Linked DNA regions of Oreochromis niloticus. The protein of the gene in region 2 interacts with the protein of the main gene of each other region in a pairwise test. Links are inferred from orthologs where the notes say so. Each region holds a gene or a part of one and is shown on either strand. Other genes may lie near its edges. The genes, in order: dab1b and clasrp.

Evidence for each region.
Region 1: the proteins of clasrp (region 2) and dab1b interact in a two-hybrid assay, tested with the Homo sapiens proteins (2 studies listed by BioGRID and IntAct). The link is inferred for Oreochromis niloticus from reciprocal best matches to the Homo sapiens genes CLASRP and DAB1.

The regions. Positions count from the first base shown.
Region 1 is NC_031982.2:8,796,105-8,808,458, forward strand, and holds the start of dab1b (DAB adaptor protein 1b), read right to left. Parts: upstream 5,532-12,354; 5' UTR 5,080-5,531; intron 4,450-5,079; exon of another isoform or gene 4,177-4,449; intron 1-4,176. UniProt on the Homo sapiens protein: Signaling adapter of the reelin-mediated signaling pathway, which regulates the migration and differentiation of postmitotic neurons during brain development.
Region 2 is NC_031979.2:23,407,509-23,420,910, reverse strand, and holds the start of clasrp (CLK4-associating serine/arginine rich protein), read right to left. Parts: upstream 6,005-13,402; 5' UTR 5,852-6,004; intron 4,575-5,851; 5' UTR 4,534-4,574; coding exon 4,435-4,533; intron 4,065-4,434; coding exon 3,967-4,064; intron 3,876-3,966; coding exon 3,774-3,875; intron 1,450-3,773; coding exon 1,370-1,449; intron 1,213-1,369; coding exon 1,128-1,212; intron 1,037-1,127; coding exon 900-1,036; intron 258-899; coding exon 161-257; intron 1-160. Other genes in the region: protein jagged-1b, read right to left, coding at 10,717-11,153, 11,236-11,386, 13,267-13,402. UniProt on the Homo sapiens protein: Probably functions as an alternative splicing regulator. May regulate the mRNA splicing of genes such as CLK1. May act by regulating members of the CLK kinase family.

The DNA.
Region 1 (12,354 bases), on a different chromosome or scaffold from region 2:
GGCAGTGATGGCTGCCCCGGTTGAACAGAGGAGGCAGGCTGACACTGCTGGCTTCACACTGAACACTTCACTCACTCACCAGATGTTACAGGCCAAGGCACAGGGATTACTAGCCACCCGCCTCTGCACAATGGGAATAACTGTATGACGGACTGGTAATTCACTTCCCCATCTGACTCCAGTGAAACCGTTTATAGCGTTAGGGTCAGTGCCTCATTATCAGCTCAACAGGATCAGTGCGATAAGTGACATGAGGTTAGGAAAGCAGTACTTGATTGCTGTTTTTGCAGAATGTACATATTTATCTACAATTGTCTGAATTACAATGAGATCATTTTGGATGGAGAAGTTTATAAGTTTGATTGTTTGCAAATGTGAGTGGTTTTATTTGCTTAATATCTTCAGCCTTTGTTTAATTTTGGATATAATAGCTTAATTGGAAACAACTTAACATATGTATTAATAAGGCATAAACAGAATTAGATTTTCCATTCAGATACTCTTTATGAAGCGAAAGACAGAAACTTGCAAGGCAGTACAGCCTCTGTCCTGTGGAGGATGTAAAGTGTGGACTATTTCCAATTTTTTATACTGAAACAGGTCCAAAAAGAGTATTTTCATTTGAACATTTTCCAGTTTCAGTTTCGCATTTTATATTCTGCATGACTGCTTGCTGATGCTACTGAGAGATTGTTCAATAAGCGAGTCCTGTTACCATGATATTGCTGATGTGAAGTCTGTCCAAGCTGGATATTTTGGTTCTTAGCAGGATGGCTGTCCTAGAGGACGTTAAAAACAGCTTTCATGCTGAGAGTTAGATGAAAAAATCAATAAGGGCAACATGACCTTAAACTGCATGAGACGCTGGAGCCAGCAGCCTGTGAGCTCAGCTTAGCATAAAGATTCAAACCAAACAGCAACAGCTAGCTTTAGCTTGGCTCCACTGGCTGCACACTAGCTTGTTAGCACAGAAGTTTATCTGGCGCGGGAATGAAGACTTAAATACTCGTGCTTTGTTCTTTGTTAGTCACAACAATGGATGGAATGAATCTCTATTAGTGACCATATGCAACTCTCAACTCTGCAACTATAAAACAAAAAAGGAAGGCACTACTTTGTGGTGCTATCCAAGTTCCTCATTAGCCAAACAGCTAGTAGGGTAGACCAGGATTTGTTGCTACACTTTTTGGTCTTGCATGAATTGCTGATCATTGAATAGCTTTCAATAACTATTCCTTTGTTAAATCAGAGCTTAAGGTGCTAGCTAAACATGGGTATCCTTTTCATTTTTGCAATTAATTGTAACACACAGTAATTAACCATCAATGACACCTTGTGAAAACCAACTGGGGTTGGTTGTCCTGATAGTTATCAATGGTGTTTCTAAATGTAAATTTAGAAATGAACACCATCTATTACACCTTGTAATTAAATTGTGAATTTAAACAAGTGATAATTATTGTGTATTATGAGCAGTGAAATTAAGGTATTCTCAGTGCTTTAACGATATCACTTTTATTAAAGCCACTAAAACAACAGAGAACAAATTCCACTGATGTATCACTGATATAATTTTAAAAAGGCCAGAAGTTCTCTATATCTTTTAAAAGACAAACAGTTTTGGGGTTTTTTGCAAGATTTTCCCACAGGTAACCAGAGCAATAGTGTAAACGTGAGAAGAAAAATTAACTGCATCAGTATCAAACTCACTGGTCTCCATTTAAGTCCTTATGCATGCTCGATCAACCAGGTAAGGAAAGTTTCTGGGATCTCCATTTTAAGGTTGCTTGTTGTGATTTAGCAAGCCTATACATCACTCAGCATCACACAAGTCAGTCATGACAAACATATACCTCTGTTTTTCAGGGATAAAGTCTTTGTGAGATCAGTTTTAGCAGACAACACAACAAAGTCATACTCCCTTTGGTTTATGGCTCAACAAAAACCATTCTGTCAACAAAGAATCAACCACAGGGTAACAGTGAGACCTAGCTACCAAATGGCTTTGGTTGGGTAGTGAAGAACTGATTCAAATCAAAGCTATTACCTTCAACTTTTTAATAAAAGTCCATCTTAAATGCCTAATATTGTATGATTTTTTAATACAGAAACAACAACATGAAAACTCTGACCCAAGAAAATTACAAAATGTGTCCTCCCCTCAAAGTTTGTGTTTTCCACCAACTGACCACAGCAAAAATGGACATATTGTCAGGTCAATGTGGGATACTGACAGATTCCACGGTGTAATATGGCAATCAACTTATACTTGCTATTCCTTCCAATACCTTTAAAGTTTAGTATTTAGCACTTTGTTTGTTCATCAAATTAACAGAAAACAAAACAATTTAATAGGGGGTTGTGTTGGACTACTTCAAGATGGTGCCAGTTTGCTGATGTAAACTCAACAAAGTTACTCATCCCAAAACCTAGTGCAGCACATGGCACCCTGTAAAATGGAAAGCTGTTTTGCTCTTTGATTTCACACCATGTAGTCTGAGTTCTTGCTTCTGACACATTAAGTTGCCCCAACCTTCCCTGCACCTGTCATGGTGATTACACTCCCAGGAGGGTGGCGGGTGGTGGTGGGGGGCGAACGTGTGCATCATTCAGCTTTCTACAATACACCGCTATCGGAGCAATCTCCCCCTTTTTGTTCAACTCCGGCAAGCGAGGTCACCCCTGACCTGCCTCTGCCAGGGGCCACATCTTTATTAATGAACAGACTAAATGTGATAAGGCCGCCAGCAAAAATCAGAACTCAGGCACAATCTTGCTCATTAAAGCTACTTTTTTATAAAAGATTCAGGCCACTCCAGGAGTCGTGTGTCTGAGTCTGAAACTTTGCATTAGTGTCAATGCGAGGCCCTGTTCGTTAGACGCATTACCTCAGAACACTTGGTAGTTCACGTTGAGGTAATGCCGCTGCGAGATGAAGAGAAACTACAAATGCGATAATCCACCAGGCTTTCAGCAGAAACAAAAGAAGAGAAGCAGAGTGTGGCACGGTACAGCAAAGGGGTGAAAAAGCCCAAAGATTTAAGAAGTGCAAAAAAACAACAAGCTGAAATTGCTCCAACACTGCTGCAATGCAATCGTGAAGAGTTAATACAGAGAAGAAATACCCAAACCACCTTTCCTCCAAATGCAAAAGGGGAAAATTCATTATGGTCTTAATTGGATAAGCTATATCCACCATATGCACCGGCTGCTTTCGCTTTCAGGAGCTAAATGAAGCGCCTTGATTCCACTGGGAGACCCAACAAAGAAGGCCTTACTGGAGAAGTTAATGCTCTCTAGTGTTTTGTTGAGCTCTATCTTAAGCCTCACAATTCACACTGGGCTGCAAAGAAATGTCTGGGGGTGACAACTGGAAATTGTAGCATGTGTGTGTGTGAGTGGTAACACATCCATCCCACGATCGAGCTACTGAGCACAGCTTAGGCTCTGTTGCAGAGCATCCTCACTAAGGAGATTACGAAGGATAGTTTGGGCGACTTGCAGAAATCGCCAGTGAACTTTGGCACCAGCGTGAGAATCCTAGCCCCAGACCTTCACTTTTATCCCACCAAACCACGACATAAACAAGATGCAGGTGAGCCACAGTGTTTCAGCAGCACCCTGGTCTGTAGCTGATGGCTGCTGTGTTACTACATTTCCACTACAATGCTCATTTCCCATCATTTACGATTGCTCTCACACAAGCACCCATGTAGAAAACACAGAGCATCATGACTGACATATGGTCCAGTAATGAACTTTGCATTTGAACTGGTAACATTGGCTCCAATTCAATTTTACCCAAAGGGGGAGGGGGTTTGGGTTTGAGAGGTTATGATTATGAAAAACAAAATAATAAACAGCCAGGACAGCAGCCTGTTCTATTGAATGATTTAACACAAAAAACTATATTTTGTCTATATGTGGTTCTTTTTAATTAATAAAGACATGCCTGTGGACCAGGGATGCACCTTGTTGTCTAGGGTTATCTTTAAATATAGAACCAAGATTGATAGCAGACTTTACAAAAATAAAATAACCAAAGTTTAGCCATGCTTATACAACACAAGTAAGTCCTACAAATCCAGACATATATTAAAAATCAACATAAAAAATAAAATAAAAAATTTTAAATGACGCAAATGGAAGTCGTGTCTCACGCTACCCCCCACCCACCTCATCCACGTCTTCCAAGACTAACTGGAATGCTTCCACCTCCACACTGACCCACGAACGTCGCTGCTGACCGGAGGACTCACACTGAAGGCCCACGCACTGGTTTTTCTGGCACATTTTGGCTCACCGCTGCCGGACAGACCGGCGCCGTTGTGCGCTGTGCGCTCCCATCCAACCGTTCATCCACAGGTACTCAGCCCCTACTACTGCAGCCCACCGAGCATTCCCTGACCGCTTCCGCACTGAAATCAATACATTTATCAACATATGCGTCATCATTCATCCATTCGCTCAGCATCGGAGCGGGCTAACACGCACTCGTTTGAGAATGACTTACTGCTGTTGCAGCAGAACATCTCTTCATTTGAATATTTGTGGAGGGAGGGAGAGCAACAGACGTGGTGGGGAGAAGAAAAAAAAGATTTCGCCTGTTCTCACACTTGTTCCTTTACACGAAATCCCACAGCCAAAAGCCCCCGTGAGCAGCTAACGCGCTGAAATCGTTTAAAAACAATCAAAACCCAAACGTCACTTTGTAATTTATGCGCAATTCGACGTGGGACAGCGGGTTATTTGACAGGCAACCGGCGTTTGCGCTTCAGCGGACTCCACATTCAAATCCATCAAAGCAGCACCGACGATCAGGTTCACAGCTTCATGATCACATTTATTTCTCTTTCCCTTTTTCTTTCTTTCTTTTTCACTCTGTATGTGTTTGTATCCCGGTCATCCACAGCGGACTGGTTCCCATTTTCATTCAACGCATCCTATCCATAAATCTTGACATGTCGCTGAGCTGCCTTGCATCCTTAAACAGCTCTGTAGTTTCACAGTTTAATGCTGAAGCACCTCTTCACCGCACACCCCTCCCAAAAAAGAAAGAAAAGCTGAGATGTTACTCACCTTTTCTCAGTGGATGCTTTTCTGAAGTGTCCCATTTGTGCGTTTTAATCCACATCTGTGTCTCCTTCATTTGAGCGCTCTATTTCCCCCCCTCAATGAGCGAGAGAGGGAGAGAGAGGGAGGAAGCGCGTTTAAGAAAATCCATTTGTTAATTCCATTTGCCGGACACTCAAGGTGAAATCACATTGCCTCTGCCTCTTTTTTTCTTTCTTCTGTTAACAGCTTCAAAATTCTTCCATCATTGTGAAAATCCCGTAAAGCCCTATCATCTTTTTGCTTTTTTTATCTTCTTCTCTCCAGCACTGAAGTTGCTTGGTTACCCCTATTTCTCATTCAAGGAGGCTGAAGCGCTGCATACAGCGGCCAATCATAGCAGCAGCCGGAGAGATTAACTATTTCTTGGCTCGAGTATTCTAGTTTCAAGCTTAAATGAGGAGAGTAGGCGGGGAAAAACTGGGCCCCCGGTGACAGAAGAAGGGAAAAAAAATTAAAATGCACAGAGAATAATGTAGAGAGGGGATCCGTTGGAGGGAGAATGTGTGGAGGGGGGAGGGGACGAAGGGGATTAAACATTTTCGAAAAATAAAGGATTCTGGAGAGGAGGAGGGACCAGTTGCCACTTCTCACAACAACAAAGATGTAAGTGAATAATATTCCTGCCTTGCAGGGCTCTCATGCAAACTGGAGTGGAGCCTCCATTCCTTCTGAATTTGCCTTTAAAGAGCAGAGATCCGTCTCATTTCAGAGATCCCCAAAAAGCAATCCATCAGGGTAATTGATCATCCCCCTTTAACCAGCCATCCATCAAGTCCAAGCTCTCTCTCTCTCTCTGTCCCCCACCTCCTACCTTCCCTCACCCCTGTCTCACTGCAGTCGCCTCATCATAGGCTGTATTGATTTTAATTTACCCCTTCAGATTGTCAAGGGGAGAAAGCCAGGTTCGCTCACCGGCTCATGCAGGCGTAATGACCCCCTGCCTTCAAGGTCCTTTATTGAGGAACATCCAGGTCAAGCCCCCCACCTCTCCAAGCACACGCCTACCTTTGGTCTTTGTGGCCTGCGCATTGAAGGCTTCAGACTTGCCCTCCACCACCACCCCTCACAGGGTGCCATGCAGGAGTGGTGGTGCATTATGGGCAAACAGTCGGGGGTCCTGACAGGGAGACAACAAGCTTCTCAAAGACAGACAGAGCACCAGCAACCATTGAGAGGGGGTGACCTGTGTTGGGGGGACTGACTGCACGCTCATGATGTAGAACATTCCTGCAGAATGAATTTATGTTATTTTATTATTATTGTTTAGTTACTTTGTCAGCCGTCTTGTTGTCAAAGTTGTTTTTGAAGCACTTTGAAGCATCTTCTTCATCCCACATTACAGTTTGAGGGAGATGTCAGCCACATACGATTCATGCTCGGGTGCCAACTGAGTTCACACATTTCACAAAAAATAAAGTTTGTCTCTTTTTTTTTGTTGGGTGACTGACGTATCGCTGGCTTCGCTCCATCCCACAGATTCCGAACGAATTCAGCAAAGTTGGGGTCCTCGCTGTGGGATCAGAAGAGCACATGTATGTGGATGTACAGTTGTGCATGTGACACACACACACACACACACACACACACACACACATATGCACATGCACATTGGCACAAGAACACGCACAAACACTTAGTGGTTGATTGACGTGTAGCTCCTGGCTTGAGCACAGCTTAATCCTGCTGCTTTCACAGATGGACTCAGTCTTCCTCTTTTTGTCTGGTGTCACGAGCAGTGGCACACACACACACACACACACACACACACACACACACTGCACATCCCCATGTACTTTTGTTTACCAGGGAGGGAAGCTGCTGTTTGGGTTTTAATCCCCTCTGTAAACCTCCCTCTCTTTATCGGACACCCCTGCTACTGGACACACACACACAAACAAGCACACAAACACACACACAGTCATCTACTCTTTGGTCATTAAAAAGAAACAAAGGAGGTCAGTGTCAGGAGTGGAATCAGGCAGCTGTGTCCTGTGAGGCGAGAGTTAATCCTCATTTCCAAGGCCCAGAGACAAAAAGGAGCCTCGCAGATGAAATGCTTCGCAGTTACGCAGGAACTCGTCACTTTTGTGCCACCTTGTTCACCCATCCATCCACCTCCACTGTAAAGGGGAAATTATGGTTCAGCGGTGGTAACGCATTGGCAGCTGTGGGTTGAATGTCCACCTGCAGCAAGCACATGTTATCAGATGGGGGCAATGTCAAAAATATGTGGTACAACTGGTCTGTGGGCAACTATTGTTTGTGTTACTGATGGCCAGTCAGTCATCCACAGAGAAGAGTGAAGTTATATAAAGAGCTGAAGTGAAACTGAGAGTTACAAATGATTAAAGGGTCCACTGCAGCCATTGTCAATTCCCCAATTCCCTGTTCCCAACCATTGTCAACCAGTCAGCATTAACAAACCCCTCTCCACAGGCTCTCTTTAGGCAAATACACACGCAGTCCCTAAATTAAGAATAACAGGGAGTGTTTGTTGTTCATTTGCTCGGCTCATCATAGGTTTTTTGGTGGCATGAACCAAAAGGGGAAAGATTAGACTTTTCTCCCCCTCCCTAATCGTATTCCACTTCTGGAAAGGCTTTGATTTCCATGTAGATGGAGCCACGTTGATAACGGCAGGGAACTGCCCTGGAGAAATGAGGCAGGGTGATAAGATAAGGAGAACAGATCCCCGTCCAGACAAAAAAGACAAAGAGGAGAGCCGTCAGCCCACGTGGCGTTTAATCTCCATTCAATCCAGAGATTAGTTAAGTCAAAATTCTCATCGCCGCACCCTGATTAGTCAGCTCCCTAAGGGGAGATGGGTAACTGGTGGCTACCTTGCAAAACCTCAGCATGAAAGCTGATCAATAATTAGTTCCCGGTTTTAGTCAGAGCGGCAGCTTTGGGGTCACGATATGTATTTCAAGGACAAAGAAAAAGGTTATTGTACAGACAGAGTGCTGATTTGCCTCTGATTCTGGGCATGAAGGTTGCCAAAAACACGAACAGTAAGTGCACGTCCAGTCAGTTGCAGTTTTGACACTCAGAGTGAGCATGTTTTCCAGGAAAGAAGGATGTTTGCCCAGCCTGTGGGTTCTATGCTAATAGACTGTTTTAATCAAGTCTAATCGTATTGTCACAGCAGAGCGTGAGCGATTAGCATTCAGAGAGGCACGGCGGGGCAAAGCCTGACATCGATAAATGACATGTGACCCCTGACTCTGACTACTCCGGCTGCTGAGAAGTTCCACTCCTTTTATCGCTCTCACCCCGGGCCACTTCATTTCCGGTACCACGGGTAATCATGATGTACTCCATCGGCTGTGGGTCTAGAGGGCACACTTCTCAGGGGACTGAGACAGAACACCTGTGGTAGTGCTCATATTTATTATTGAAGGAAATGAGCAAGTTGTTCAATGTGACTATCAATTATTGTGTAGATGAGCTGGGACTGCACTGCTACTGTAGTTAGGTCAATAGTTTTTTGCTCAAAGGCACATTTTTTCTAGTTTTGCCTCTGCACGCTTTCACGGTGGATTTTGAATCAAAAAACCATGGTGTGATTGAAGGCGAGACTTTGAAGTTTAATTGAAGTGGGTTTATAAAAATAGTGAATTAACTGTTTAGGAATTACAGCCATTTTTATACAAATATATCAAGAATTTGGTACATTTTTGAAATGAAAAGCAAAATCTAAAAGAAACATCTGAAGAGCTGACACAGTTCTGGAAAGATGAAACCATACTTTTATTTATGCATAACCAAAATGACAGGAAGACAACAGCATGGAGACGGTGAGAAACAACTCATGATTTTAAGTATAGCGCATCATCTGTCAAACACGGTGGAGGCAGTAATATGGCATGGGAAGATATGGCTGCTAATGATGTGATTGCTGATAGAAGTAGCAGGATGAATTGTGAAGTGTACAGTGCTGCACTCTCTGCTCAGATTCAAAAGTGATCAGACAGCATGTCACAAAAGTGGATCATGAGCCAAAGCATATGGAAAAAAGCAACCCAGGAGTTTCTCAAAGGAAGGACATGGGATATTCTTCAATGGCCAAGTCAGTCACTGGATCTCAACCCGATAGAGTTATTAAATACAAGACTGAACGCATAAAGACATGAGAAAGTGTGCATAAAAATGGCTGTATTTCCTAAACAGTTAATGGACTCATCCATCCTCTAATCTAATATCATTTTATAGTAGTATTTTTGGGTTTTTTGTTCTGTTTTGTGGTAGTTAGCATGTCTTTGGAAGTAGTGCAATGTGTTTCTGTTGGGAAGTATGGTATGGAAATGCATGCAAGTCGACTATTTGTTCAAGTCCACAACTGTCCATCAATGTAGACCCAGAAACTTTTAAAAATCATAACTTATTGACTGAGATCATACCGAGTCAGTGTGGTCTGAGTATGGTCCTATTCAACACGATCATGCTGAGACCACATGGGGAAATGGGAGGCATGAAATGCTCTTCAAGCACTTCTTCTTTGGCTTGAGCGGAAACATTTGCATGCCAGCATGTCTCCAAATTAAATTTTGTGTGCTTTCAAAAGGCAGCTGTTTGCTAACATCTGTGACATATCCACGTTTTATGTCATTGCTGAAAACAGCTTGCTCCACTGCCCTATATTGCTCAAAACAAACAGGAAAAAAAAAATCAGTTAATACTGCTTTAATATTAACTGATCCTTCAGTCTCAAAGGATTAAGTGTTGTGACCTTGAAGCAGCAGTCAAGAAATGAAAAGCTACAAAAAGGTAGTGAATCAGCATTAGGATTCATGCAACTGAACAGATGCAGTGCCGATGCTCAGGGGGGCTTTAACTTTGTTTCAGTATCGTGCCACACCTTTACCCTTGTTGTCTTGCTCTAAGCCATTTTTGTTTCTCAACCAAGAACACCACAACACCGGCTTGTTAATCTCATGCAGCCGGAGCAGCTGTCTTTTCAAGGTCAAAGAGGTCTGGAGAAAATCTTGCTGATAAATCTTGAAATAATCAGACCATGCAAATCCAGATGCACGCACTAATTTGTGAAGATGAAACCCCATCTTCGATTTCTATCTAGGTCGAAAGAAGATCTACATACCGTAGCTTTATATTAGTGTCAGTGTAACAAGGCGTCTGTGTTTTCTAACTAACCTTGGATTTTTTATTTTTTTCCCACCGTGCGTGAATATTGAATTTTAAACTATCAGCAGTGAAGTGAATGGGTGGGGTGGTAGCGGGGATTTGAGGATTTTTGTGATGCTGCTGGAATTTATATCCAGCCATCACTTGAACCACACTGGAGCATACTGTATGCAGAATAACAAGTGGCAGCATGGAAGCAGTTAGTCTAGCTTCAGCGTGGAGGATACACATGGTCGGAGCTCAAGCTCAAGGTGTGAGGGTTTATTAGCCGCTGATATTAAATCCCAAGAACAGGAAATAAAGCAGATGGACAATGACAAGTGCCAGTTTGCATTTTGGATTGGAAAAGGAACTTGGATTTACACCCATCTGCCAAACTCGCATTCTTAATTAAAAGCGCAATGTGGATACATTGCCTCTGTACACTGCTCGGATACAGGCTAGCGTGCAGACACATCTTATGTCACTTATTTGCGGTGAACATCTTGACTGTAGCAGAAATTTGGCTCCACTCTGGGCCATTTGCATTCCTTTTTCTTGCTTCTGCATCCCCCGCCGAGTTCTTGTTGTTTCACGACATTATACAGCGCGGGGAGACGTGCACATCAAGCACCAATTTGGTTGTTTGCTGTGTGCAAATGATGCGTAAATGAAGCGCAGACACTGCAGATGTCACGTGTTTACATACAAACTAAGCTGTGCACGTTTAATAGCCTCATCTGCACAAGTTTGATCACTTTTCTCTTTAAACTGACAAAAGGGTGATCTCCCTTTCATGTCATTTTAAGCGCTATTCGTGAAAAAGTAACACAATGTGCTCTTTGCTCAATCGGCAACCCCAAGCACACAGCATCTCCTTTGGGGAGGGACGCATGGAAACATGCGAGACCTCGTCCATGTCCACTTTATCAAAGAGGGCCTGTATTTCATTTTATTTATTTACTTTTGTTTTAGCCAGTGCACTGGGTGTTCAGAAGTCGCTTTACGTGCACATGCGTGGGCACATGCGCACACACCGTACGTGCATTTTCCGCCCACTCATCTCCGCGATCGGGCTGTCACAGGGGCGCTATGACAGAGACAATGTGACAGTATGTGATTTATTGTGTCAGAAGAGAGCATAAAAGAGGCTAATTGAGGGGTAAGTGAAGGAAGCAAAGTTTGCAGGTGTCAGCGTAACTTTGGCCGTGATGAATTTATTCACGGGTGGGTGACGCTGACATGTCAAGGACAAAAACCATATAATTAGCCCATAAATTTAGAAAGTGATTAATTCTAAATTCCTGCTATTTAATTAAAATATGCAAATAGACAGCCATTCCCACTAACAACGCGACACACTTACCGGAGTAACAAAGTTTGGCGGGGAGTTAAGTCACTTTTGAATGATAGTTGACTTAAACAGAAGAATTCTGCCGCTAATTCACACACACACACACACACACACACACGCAATACATCTGTCTCCACTGCACATTTGCACCACTGCGCATCACTGGTTTGCCGAGCACATTCGGGTCCAGCAGTGGTGACTCAAGGAAGCTGACTCCTTCAAAGCAGAAGAACAGTTGAAGAGGCATTACGGATATAATTGGATTTCATTTCAACCATGTGGCGGGGGGGGGAAGACTTGTCACCACCCTGGAGAAAATGGAGCCAAAATCACTGTATTTACTGCGCTGCATAGAGGGGGTGTGTTTGTGTATGTGTGTTCCACCTCGTGTGGCTCAGAGTGTGCGCGGATATGCTTTTTTAGGTCGTGTGTGTGGGTGTGTGTGTATTGCACATGCCGAAAATCCCAAGACACACAAACTAGTGTCAATTGAATCCACAGAGAGAGAGAGAGAGAGACGGGTTTCCCTGATGCCTTTTAAAGCAATGCATCAGAGAAGGACTAACTGCAGACAGCAAATACAGGACCAAAGGGAACCACAGATAAATTTGTGCCTTTCCCCTTTTGGAAATAAACCTCCCACACTGCCTGCCGCGTGCGCCATTACTTCACAGCAAAAATGTCCACATTGATGAGACCTTTGGTCTTTGAAGCCAGTGGGAAGGGGAAAAGTGTCTGTAGTTTGGAGATTTGACTTGTTTTTG
Region 2 (13,402 bases):
AAACTGAAAAGAAAAAAAAACTGAATTTTAAAAAAGCTACATTAACTCTACTTTGGTCAAGACACTAATTAAAATTTAAGGAACCACTGGGCGTCGTTTTTCTTCAGAAATTTGCTTTGGGTTCGACTCTGACATCATGATGTGATTAATGACATGTTACCTGACAAAGTCTCCTTCAGCCATTCCATATGGCGTTGCCATTTTGTTCAGGTCCATCACCTGCTCCTGGTTCAGCTCATCAACATCAACCTCCACATCTGAAAGTGCGCGCGCACACGCACACGCACACACACACACACCATTTTTTAACAAGTCGATTTCTTACCCAAGCATTAAACAGGAACACTGTTGATCTGAGATCAGATCGTCGGTTAACAGCATTTAAAACACGATTATCACATAACCAAGAAAAACCTGCAACCTGGCAGAAAAGAGAAAAATAAAGTTGAGCAGTGCCAGCTGAGTGGATCACTTTTATAAAGACAATCTTCTCCAGGTACAGTGTAAGATAACTAGTGTTATTTCTCAATAACTAGCGTTTTACATGCTGTTAAATAGCTTGGTTTAACTGCATTAATTTCTCATTGGGATGTGACATTTCTCCTTCGCTGAAGTCCATTTTCAGGGTTAGTCTGAAGCCACACAGATGTGTATCTGGCCATTTGAAGCCTGCACTGCATTAAATGATGTAACAAATCCAGCTCGCACAGTCAAATTGACAATTTCAGATTTTAGTCTCTTCTGAGAAACGTTCTGTGGAATAACTCTCACATATCCAAGAGACGAAAAGCTGATCAAACACATTCTCTGTGGACAGCTGTGCCTCTAAATGTTTTATTTGGTCATCTCCTGAATTTTACTTCCCTAACACATAGATTACTCCAGTGAAACATGCTCACCGATATCTGGAATGCCTTCGTCATCTTCGGATTCACTGTTTTCTGAATTGTCTTCCTCTTTGTCTGACTGGGGCTCAGGCTCTGCTACAGTGCTGTCTTCATACGTGTAACCAATGGTGGCCTTCTTCTCAGCCAGTCTGCACAACACAAGGAAAGATTTATGAAAACAACTTAAAATACTGGATTTCACAGTGGTGATAAAGAACCACTTTAAAATTTAGTTCATACTTTTTCTTCTCATCCTCATTTGGTTTGGGCAGACCACCATAGAGCTCATCCAGGTAGATCTGGTATAAACACTGCTCCTCAGAGACTGCAGGAGGACAGGAGGGATTTAAAGAGCACAACACAACTGCAAAATATACCCACTGAGAGCAGGTCAACACACTGCCATGGTCACATTAAGAATACAGGTGCAACACTATTAAGCGCATTACATAGTCATGTAGATTTTGTGTGTTAACACTCACTGTTGGCAAAGTCATTCTGTACAAGGCCTCTGTAGCGCTCATAGTTACACTTTCTCTCCTCCATCTCCTGCTCTGGAGTGCTGCATGAGACAAAGAAGATTGTTGGTCACATTAAACACCTCGCTGAATGCTCAAATCTCACCACACTGAACTGGTTTGTGTCCTGACCAAGCATGAAAGATGACTAAAAATACAATCTCACAGATGACCTGTTCAATTACTGAGCAGCAGGTGTTTTATCACAGAGTAAGAACCAGAAGTCTTACTAAAAAGCCACTCTTTGGTTATTACCACAAGTTTCAATGCACCAGCACAAGCAGTCAGTGAAGTAATCAGCATTACAACACATAAAGATCGAAACAGACAGTCGTGCTATAAACAGCATTTTTAAATTAAATTTTATTTTGTTTTTAATTCTTTAATTCTATTTAGTTTTCCATCACTTTACAGAATCACTTGGCATTCTTTAGATTAGTTTTCACTTTATGAAAATGTTTAGTTTTAGTTTAGTTTTTATCATTTTGAATGTTAGTTTTAGTCTTTTAAATTATTATAACGTAATAGGAGGGGTATTTATCAGAGAAAGTTTTAAGAGTAGCCACCCGGTCATCCCAGCAACCATCTTCAATAAAGTCTCCTCATTGGTGGTGTGTTGATAAATGAATCAGGATGTTTACAAGTTATTTAGCAGCAAGTTCTCCACAAACACGAGTCCAAGATTGGGGAGAGGTGACCATCATTTGGCATTCCGCCTGACCAGTCACAAACTGCTCTCCTTCACCCCCATGGGCGGCTATCTGCAACCAACCAAAGGCCTACAGTATCAGGGCCAGATTTGCTATCATGCTGTTGCAGCACGCATGCCTTTTGGGAGTTCCTTTCACAAGGTGTAAAATCTGTTTAAATCAAGTCCACAAGTTGATTTGTTAATGTTTTCAAACACTGTTTATTTTTGGCACTTGTTATTGAAATGGACTGACTGTGCCTGTGTTTAGAAAACAGTGAACCTGTAAAACTAACCACAGCTATGATCAGCATTTGAGGATTGTGCTCACACCTTATTTCACCCCTGTTTAGAGGTGTTCAGTCAATCCTGCAGCTGGCAGCTTCACACCACTGGCCAAAGACATACACATAATGTCAACTGCTCTCGTACTGAGCAGAATTACTGCTACAACATCACATCATCCGCAGGGAAACACTAAAACGTCTCACAACGGCCTAAAAATCAGTTCACTTTCCTATTAGCGGGTCAACAATCCAGCACTTACTGACCACAGGTTTAAAACCCAGGAAATCCGGAGGATCATGAGGACCTATTTTAATAATCTGTATTCATACTGGGAATCAAGGTCATGCAAGCTGTTGCCCTTCTGCTCCACAGGTGGTTTCTGTCCTCCCTGAGCTCACCTTAGGACACCTGCGTTACAGTTTGGACAGATGTACTGCCCTAGTCAAAGCCCCCACCTGCCACTGTCTTAGGAGCGGGTCACCAGAAGCACTAAAGCTGTGCTTGTAGAGTCAAAGTCGAATTTTAAATATGGACAATAAAACATCCATCTAGTTGCAAACTGCTTCCCAATTTAGAGAAATGGAATAAAACATAAATCTACTACTACAGACTACTGCAGCAGGTGTTTTAGCTTTATTATTATAGAAATTATAATATAAGTAATTAAACTAGCCTATTTTGCAGGTGACAAAATGACCTGTTTTGGGTTTTTTTCTTAAAACAAACAAAAAATGGGGTCACCATCTCCTTTGACGACTAAAGTCAGATCAGCTCAACCTCATACAAGAGCAAATGTTTCCACATAATTAAAAACAAACTTTGGTGTATTAAGAGTTTTTTCATGTGCTATGTGCAGAGGTGTTTTTTTTCTGCTCTCAATCTGATCTCCCCATTGGAGCTCAGTCTGGGGGGAGTTATTTTTTTCTCCTGATCTTTCCTCATGTGGTGCATTTTCCATTGTTATACCTCTCTGACCTGTCTTCCCCATGTGATGTTTTTGTGTAATGTATGTATGGTCGGAGGGTAAGATGGCGCCGCCATTGCGCGCAATAGGTCGGCAGCCTTAACAAGAAATTTCCCCTTGTGGGACTAATAAAGGTATATCAAATCAAATCAAATCAAAACAAAACAAAAAATAACAAACTGAAAACATAATCCATACCAAATTATGACTGGTTATTTTTTGAAAGCCCTCTTTGATGAACTATCTTAACTGTTGAATACATAATCTGTACAGCATATGTACAACAATATATGGTGAATGTGTGATGATCTCCTCACAACTGTCCCATGTAGAATCATACAACGAAAAAGTAAATAAATAACCAATAAAATGTTCACACAACGTGGGTTCCATGTTAAAAATGTGGCTTTAAGTACTTTCAGACTTACGATGTGGTGAGCAGAGGTGGCGTGTAGGTGGGGATGTAGTCCAGGTGAGCCCTTACATCAAACCTGTCAATCATGTTGTTGGCATCTCCTTGCCAAGGCATCCTTCAGACAACAGAAAGGAGGCAACATGTGATCATAAGCTCTGTGGTGTGGCTCATCTCTTATTATGTGTCGATTTTGTGATTTTCCTCACATGTTTGCAGGGCTCTCTGCGGCCAGTGCCACAGCTGGATCCAGGTGGATTTTGTAGGCTCGACCGTGAACTTGAAGAAACTGAGCAGGATCTTTTTTCTGTCAAAAGAAAATGAAACCGTAAGAATACAATGCATTGATTAATATCTAAAACTATGAAATGTTACACTGCACAGCACTTTAATTAAACTGAAACCAACAACCATAGAAATTAACTTCTAAAACTTGACACTTTTTTTTTGTAAACAGTAACTGGTTCATTGATGCAATGAGGATAACTGAAAGCTGTGTCAACTATATGCATATGTTTTTAAAAATACCACAAAGTTTGGACCCACATAACTGGGTATAAACTTGCTCAAATCTTTTCTTCTTTTTTAAAAATCCTGCAGTAAGAGTGTTCAGGCCAGACCTGCTCACTCCTACCCGGTGGTACACTGTGGCAATGCAACATGATAAAGTTTCTTACTATCTTCTCATAGTACTCTCGCCGGCGCTCGCCTCGCCGTTTGTAGTCTACCATCATGCCACGGAGCTTGCGCTCATGTTTGCGGGCCTCCTGCCACATGACGGCTCCGCTAGGGGTGGGGGCGCGGCGGGGCACGGCTGCTACTCAGGGCAAACAAGCAAGAATCATGGGAGACAGGGGAAAGTGAGATTAAGGGTGTTAGAGGCAAGAAAAATAAATAAATAAAAATAAATAAATAGTGGACTTTATAAACTGAGCACTTCAAGAGCTCTGAACTCCACATCATGTCACTGACATACAGACAGAAAGTATCTCTTACATATTACAGTTGATATCTCTGATCAGAACCAACTACAGAGTGCAACCAGCACATCTGCAAACACACTATCAACACTCAAGACTACTGAAAATTCCCAGTCTTAAGCTTCACACTAAACACAGGCAATGTTGTAATGCAATAGTTACCTACATTCCTTGTTAAACACTTGACAACCTAAGGCACGCAGTGACGTCTAAATTTCTAGCAAGACAACAGACATATACCGAGATTAAACGGCCATGAATGCACAAAATATTTGTAGCCTGTCTATTCATAAGTAAACTGAGGCATATTGGTCACTTCCTAAAACTGAAGTTGTGACACGTCATGTTAGACATGTGAGGGAAATTCAGTGTAACGAAACCTAAAAGGTATACGTTTGCCATTCATTTGCATCAGTGTATACACTTCCAATGCATTTCTCGGAGTGTTTGACGAAGCTCATATCCGCAGTAATGACAGGATTATATTTTTCTATAGCAGATTCCTCGTCCTCAATTTTGCTAAAACAGGGACATTAATGAAATAACACAAACAAGCAAATACAGCAAATATACTCCGATTTATATTTTTAAAAAATAAATAAAATGAATTTCACTGGAAAAAACAAACACCTAAAATGTGATTTTGGTACATCACAGAAATTACAGTAACTGTGAATCAAGGTGTCACCTCTGCATCTTCTACCACTAAACACACTTTTAATTTACAGCAGTAGCTAAACAGTCTGAAGCTAAAAAGCTAACATAGCTTTCTATCCAGTATTTACGTAGTTAATACGGTTACATTACAACGCTGTTTGTCCTCTAAAACGGTTATTTTAACCCGTCTACGCCCCACTTTCAGCGTTCAGATTCAGCCGGGTGCTAAAAAAAATCCGTGTTATCAAAGTGATGTAGGAGTTTGTTAGCATACACACGGGCCTGACTGCGCATGCAGCCCGGGCCTTTTTAATACCAGTTAGCATCACAACTAGCCTAGCTTAGCTGATCTGCAAAGACGTTGGGAACAGTGGTCAAAAAAGCAGCTACGAAACACTGAAAACTACACATACGGCCGTACAGGGTACTCAGCGCGGTCTAAATTCTCACAGTGTACCTGTTTTACTAATCGCCAACACACACACGGGTTGTTTTCAGTTGGCCAAAAGCGATGTTAGCGGAGTGGAGCGTAACCACACGCCTCCTTCGCATATATATAACAGGCTGCAGTACCGACTCTGGCCTGTGAGGGCGCTGCGGGGAGGCGTGTGTATGTAACATTAATGGGAAGATACTTTTGAAAAAAATTCTCCTTATTATAAAACACAGTAAACAATAATCGCCACTTCTACCTTCACAGCAGATAACTCAGACCAGAGTCAGAGGAGATTCTATGCAAAGCATCACAAATAAAAAAAACATTTTGACAGCTTTCTTCTTCTTCTTTTTTTTTAAATTCACAGATGGTTTTAATACAATGCTCGGTGTCCTTTTGAAAAATTATGAATAGATATGTAGATTGATTAAATTGGGCTTTTTAGATATAGTTTATACTTTGCTATGATAATTAAAAGTTTGAATAAATGTAGTTCTTTTTATTGCTGAAACTGAACAGTACCTTATGCCAACACAAAGATGAGTCTTTCCGAAAAGCCTTCCTTAAACTTAAACAGGATAATATATGTGTTTTATTTTGAAAGAAAGTTTGTGCATATTATTTACATTATCTGTTGGCTTCGTAATGAAAGTTACATAATAACTCAGTATGAAAAACGGCTCAGTGGTTTTTAAGGTTGTGCACCGTATTTGGCCACAAGATGTCCCTGTTAGACAGGAAATATGCACATTTGAAGCTATCACAGTTAAATAGAGACACTTGCAAGGAATTGGCAAACTGTGTGTGAAAACATTTGTGGTAATCCAGCTAAAAATAATTAAATTAATCTTTCTTTCTACAAAGTATTATGCCCCTGTACCAGTCTATGACTACTTTATGTGCACAAGGACATGTATCAATGCTGCTCTAGTGAGAGTCACTCAGCGTTTAAGCTCTAGTTTTTCTTGTATTTGTTGTCAAGCTCTCCTGAATCCCTGTCAGAAATACAAACCCAGGTGTCCTTGGGTCAGTGCATCAGCTGCACATGTGGATGGGCACTAAAATAAATCCTTAAAGGAGATCTCTTATATTCATTTGAACTACCACATTTTTCTGTATAAATCAACTCTTCTGGAGTTGCTGATTTTCATACATACACACACACACACACGCACACATCGCATGCATTAAAAGACCAAGGCATCCACTGCACAGCTGAACTTTACATCAGGTATCTACATTATTACCTTTCCCTGTTATGTGTATTTATTCATTGTGTGTCTGCCTGTGTTTTAAGCTGAGAGCTACCACGCAGCATTTCGTTATGTGACTGCAAAATGATAATAAAGAATCTTTAACTCCTCTTATTTATCTCATGCTGATATTTGTCACAGAGTCAGAAAGGAGCTGAAAGTGTCAGAACTGGATATGATTGTGGATTTTAAGACTGTTTTAAAAGAATGAGAGAATAAATCTTTTGGTCAGTGTGAGTGCTGTTAATGCTTTGCACGTTTGTGTTCACTTGTCTCTGAATATCAGTTGTATTTGCTCCTTTACTTGTTATATCATTTTATGCTTCCCTCTTGGACAGGTCTCTCCAGAAAAAGACATTTTAATCTCAATGAGATTTTTACCTGGATAAATAAATTATATAGAATACGTTTTATTTATAAAAATATAATTTATCTCTCCAATGTGCTGTAATCACACAGCTCCTCAGAAAAGTAACTTGGATCCATCCGTGAGGGATCAGAGTAGAGCTGCTACTCCTCTGCATGGAAAGGACCCAGCTGAGGTGGTTCGGGCACCTGACACGGATGCCTCCTGGGTGAGGTGTTGTGGGCATGTCCGACTGGGAGGAGGCCCCGAGGCAGACCCCGAACACACCAGAGAGATTATATTGCTACAGTTTAAATTACTGTAATGCTTTATTTGCTGGATTATCCAAACGATCAGGATGACTTAGCTTATTCAGAGTCCTTTCATACACAGCAAAATCTGAACATATTATCACAGTACTGAAGTCAAAACAGGATCACTTCTAAATACTTCTGTCATTTCATAAAACTGCTAAAGGTTTGAGCCCCGGGTACATTTCTCAGTGTCTATAATGCTACTAAACCTATAACTGTGCTGAGGGTGTGTGTTTGTGTGTGTCTGTTTTAACTCGTATTTTATTTCTCTGCAAAGTGTGCTTTGAAAATAAGGACAAGCATTTAACACCTTTACACTGAGGGGCAGTGACCCCTTGGCTGAATCTGAAGCTTTCTAATCTGCACGCTGGGCTTTGACATCCTGCTCAGCAGGTGCAGAAAGATGCCTGTACATATGTATGTATATATATACGTCTATGTTTGTGTGTGTAAACTCTATTCTCTACATTTCCTCATGACCAGCATGGTTACAGGAAACCATGTTCATTTCCAGCCCACTGTTGTTTGCACAGGTCAGAGGTCACATTTGTCACATCTATTTGCACATTAAATGTCTATGCTGTGACCTTGGAGCCGCTTACACTTGGCAATTTATCATATTTTAGTAACACACAGCATGCTTTACTGTAATGATCTTTTATATATATATATATATATATATTTTAAATTTTCAATAACACCAGTGCAGCGTAAAGAAACAAACAAATAAACAGATACACACGAGAGAGAAAAAAAGGCCACATATATGGGAAGAGTTCCAGAAAGGAAGGGAAAAAAAAGAATAGGTTAAATATGGCATGTCATGGGTCCAAAAAGGACTGGATCTGGAAGTACCCAAGTGTACCCCAGATTTAGACAACTGCACTTGAGTACAGTTTACAGAAAAATTGTACTGTAATGATTTAGGACAACATAGACTGTCTGATATCTGCAAAAATGGTTACAGGTAACTTCAGTAATTGTAGATCCATTAAAACCAGAAACTTTAAGTAAATATTTGCCAGTGTTTCCAGCATTTTAAATGCTATTGACCAGCAGTTTGCACAAACCCGCTGCTCTTGAAACTTACTGTTATTATTATTCCTTTTTTTTTTGCAGCCACACATTTGTTTTTTAGGAAAGCTGGGGTCAGTCAGGTGGTCTCCCATATTTTCCTGGCACCGTCAGCATCATTGTTTGTCAACGAGTGTCAGGGAAAGAAAAGGAAGATAGTGAAAGTCACTGTGTATATGGTGACTTACTGACCTAGTCATTGTGCCTGTGCTCCAACATGAAATATCCTCTCATGGGACTCTGTCAGTGATTTATGAACAGAAAGCTTGGTTGTGACATCTGAAAAATGCATACAGGGAGACAAGGAACTAGAAGAACTGATAACTCTTAAACAAATGTAAGTAATTTAAGACTAATGTTGCTATTCCAAAGCTTAAAAATAAGCTTGGATGCTTTTTGTTACATATACGGTTATGGTCAAAAGTATCTCTGTATCTTCAAAGGACTGTGCATTCATGATATATTGTTGCTTTGGCCGTATTAACAAATGGAGCAGATCTACATATTATTAGAAAGTGGTATTAGAGGAGACACAATCCTTTTTGGGTTGTGTCAGGGAGGGCTTCTGGTGCAAAATATCAACTAAATCAAACAGACAGTGACCACTGGTGAATAACAGAACAACTGAAAATAGCTTTTTATTCAAGGATTTAGAAACTCTTTAGTGGGTAGTAGTGATTATTGAGTACAAATGAGAGTCCTGAGAAGACTGGGGAGTTATTATCGACTAGAGCAGCTTTACATTATTCACAGTCCTAAATAATTTATCTTGTCATCTTTAGCTCCTCCCCCTTTATACCAGCTTTCATCTGATTAGCTGCCCCTCAGAAACAGAAGAGCTGAACAGCAGTTGACCATGTTAGAGTTATCTGCTCTTCCTCTCATTATTCAGACCTAAGGAAAAACTGTCTGGAAGGGAGGGTTTAGAGCTGTCTGAAGCCTAAGCTTTCGGCTCACAGGGATTATTTTGGACAACTAAACCCTGGAGTTTAATAAAAGGTATAAAATCGAGTTGGTAAATGCACTTTTATTACATTCCACATGTGCTTGCTGCTCCAAATGGAAAGTATAAAGGGAAAAACAGGGGACAGTAATACAGTGATACTTCCAGAATGAATCACAGTACAAAAAGGGCATCAATATGTACAATACTATTTATGTACAAAAACAACTATGTTACACACAAGTATGATAAAAACCATACATCTCGGGCAAACTGCAGTATTACAGAGACAAAACAGGCATCAGTGTATACTCTTAAAAATGTTCTCAGGAGGCTTGCAAGCCTTTGGTTCAGGAGGATGCACTTTCACTCTAAGCAGAGTGAAATGTTTCCCCTCTCACAAAAACTAATTATATCCAGTCTTTCGTTCACTCTCACACACACTTACACACAGCCAGACACAAACAAAAAATGTTAAATAGGCATCTGTTCACTGATCCTTTCTGTCAGAGTTCAGTGGAGGTTTGGACAACAGTCAGATGGCAACACCGAACAGGAAATGTATCGGGACTCAAATGGAGGAAGATCCTCTGTTTACTCTTGACAGTTTCACAGGCACTCAAAGGCAAGTCTGTAAGTCTTTAGGTTTTCAGTTTACTGTTGAGTCTTTCAGCTCAACTTTATGCCTGTGCTGCTTTTTCATGGCCATTAAGAAGGCCCAAAGACGATGGCGACGACGCTCTTTCGACCCCTCTGCTTAGCAGCCTTTGTTCCTCTGGTGTCTGCGCACAGCCATCTTTGTTTATAAAGGTCAGAGGGTCACCTTTAATTTTCATATCTGCAACATCGACACAGTGCAAGTAACTGGAGACGGGGTCCTGTGAGCAAAAGAGTGCTAAGGACGCAAAGTAAATTTAAAAAACAGCTCCTCAGGGCTTTAAAAGGTCAGCATGGGGTCAGACCTCCAGCTCTTGGTTATCTGCATAGTGGAGGCGGTTCAACTTCTCCCTCTCTTGGTTTGAAATGTCCAGTTTGGCAGCATGTGCTGGCTTTAGTGCTGGGGAAGGGTGTGAGGGGGCCGGGGAGGGCGGCAGGGTCAGTTCAATCTCCTCGTAGCAACGTGAGACGGGGGCGGGAGCTGGAGGGTTTGTGAGAGGGGCGGCAGCGGGCAGCTGGGGCACCGGACGGTCCACGTTTCTGATGAGGTTGACAAACTCCCTCTGGTTGTTGATGCCTTCTTCCTGCGGGACAGCCTGCTGCTTTTTCCGCTTCCGATGGAGGTGGGACAGGATGAAGGCGCAGGCGGCACAGCCACAGACCGTCACCAGAGCTAAGACTCCCACCAGGATCATGTAGAAGCTCAGGCCCCCGTGTGCTGAGTCAGACATGGCGCCTTCGGGTGTTGAGACGTGAAAGATCAGACCAGGGTTCATCAAGATTTTATACGTTTAAAGATGCACAAGTATTTCTCTCACCTTGACAGTGGTGACCAATGCAGGGATTTTTGAGGCTCATGCACTCGTCACCATAGTAACCGTCAGGACAGATGCACGTGTTCCTGCCATCTATGATGTGACACTGCACGCCTTGCTGACAGGGGTTGGGATTGCACAAGTCCAACACGACCTGAAATATTGGAAAAAACAAAACAATAAGACAGTTAAGGGAGACATCCACTTCTCTCTAACCTCCAGTGAAATTTCTGATGTTTCTGATTGGATCTTTAAAAGATCTCTTCTTACTTCACTTTCAATGCTAAAACTCAAATGTTTATTTATAGCCAATGAATTTTTTTTAAGTTTTAGCATTTTTAAACTTTTTGGTGTAAAATTTCCTCCTAATAGTATGAGTTCTCCCGTAGCTCAGCAGGGATTGAAAAACAAAAATAAACAAACAAAAATGAATTTGAAAGTTGAAAGACTAAAGACACCGGATATATAAACCTGAATATTTTAGATTTGTTATTTTACCTAATTATTTGAGATTTTCAAGGATCACATTAAAGTTAACAAATGTAGGCATTAAACTAGCAATCTGGAGCCAAGAGGTTTTTATAATATTATAAAAAAAAAAAAAAGTTTATTTACTGTTTGGCTTTTCTTAAAAAGTTTTAGTTTTACTTCTGTGGACTTTTTAATGTACTTCACTTCTGATAGGGCTAAAATGCTAGAATCATGTTTATTCCTGGTATAAATAGTAACATCTGATGTGCTGTCTATAGTTTTCAATCCACTTTTTTATTCTGTATTTTATTTTTAATTATAAGCTTGTTCTACCTTTGTTCATGATATCATCACATGTTTTATTTATACTCAGGTCCGTGTCCATGTATTACTTAAAAAAATGATTTTCTGCTTTTGTTTTGTAAAATATCTCCATTCATAAGAAAAAGAAAAAGAAACAACATTGAGTTCTATGCAACATAAATGTTGGCCAATCAGAAGGCTACAGGCGATAAAACCACACAGTCTGATGTCAAAACAGAGATAAAAGCAGATAACTTTCTAAATCTAAATCTTTATTTCAGTTGTTGTATGTGTGGACATAAGACTAAAATCCATAGACTAAAGATACGTTTACCAGAATACCAGCGTATGTGTGGACAGCGCCTCGCCCCAACCAAATGAACTTGAGATTAGCTGCATAATACATTTGTTACTGTGCTTTTCATTTACCTTAGCAGCACATTCAACACTGTAAATATTCAGGTTTCTCTTTCTGGAACAGGTTTAAATTCATATTTTACCATTGTGTAACATGAACTTCTGATAAAGACTAAATTTCTAAAATCCCCATTTTTTAAATCTATCATATCGATTTTTCTTTCAATCTTTTTTGGATTACTCTTTTGAAATATGTTGTTATATGATGTTATGCGCGCTCTCTGTGCGACCACACATCTATTATCTTCCTCTGATCTTCTGCTTTCACCTCTGATTTGTTTCTCACTCTGATTGGCTGCAGAAGGCTCACTGGCATGCATATACAGCTAGAAAAGGTGGAGCACGGAGGTTGCTGGTTGGCATCTCAGTACCTCGTCTCCTGATCCTCGTCAGCAGCACTGGTGATGTCGTTCTGCTGCTTTTGATTATGGCTTGAGTTTGGAGTTACGGGCAGTCGTGTTTTCGAGTTTGGTTCTGTTATTTTAGGTTATTAATATTAGTTTAGGGGAAAATGGAATCTGATGGCTCCTTGTATGGTTGTTTCATGATCTTCTTCCTCTTTTGTTTATTTTTGCCAGGTTTTCCATTTTCCTCATTCATGTTTATTCTTTGTAAGTAATCATATTTACATTATTAAAAGTATATTGAATGGCAGCAGTTTTCTGGGCCAGATTATGTTAGGTTCCCTTGAGTCTTTGATTCAGAGACTGTAACATCTAATATTACCTTGTATGCCTGTTTCATCTTTTTTACTAGAAATTATCTTCACACATTAGTTAAACTAAAAAAAATACCCATTTAGTTTTAATTATTAAAAAAATAAATTAAATTACGTTCTCCGACCTCACAGAAGTTTCCAGAATATCCAGTGGGACAGTTGCAGGTGACTGTTCTTTCATCCTTCTCCTCACACTGCCCTCCGTGCAGGCAGGGGGCGCTATCACACAGACGTTGATGATTTTGGCAGTGTTTTCCAGAG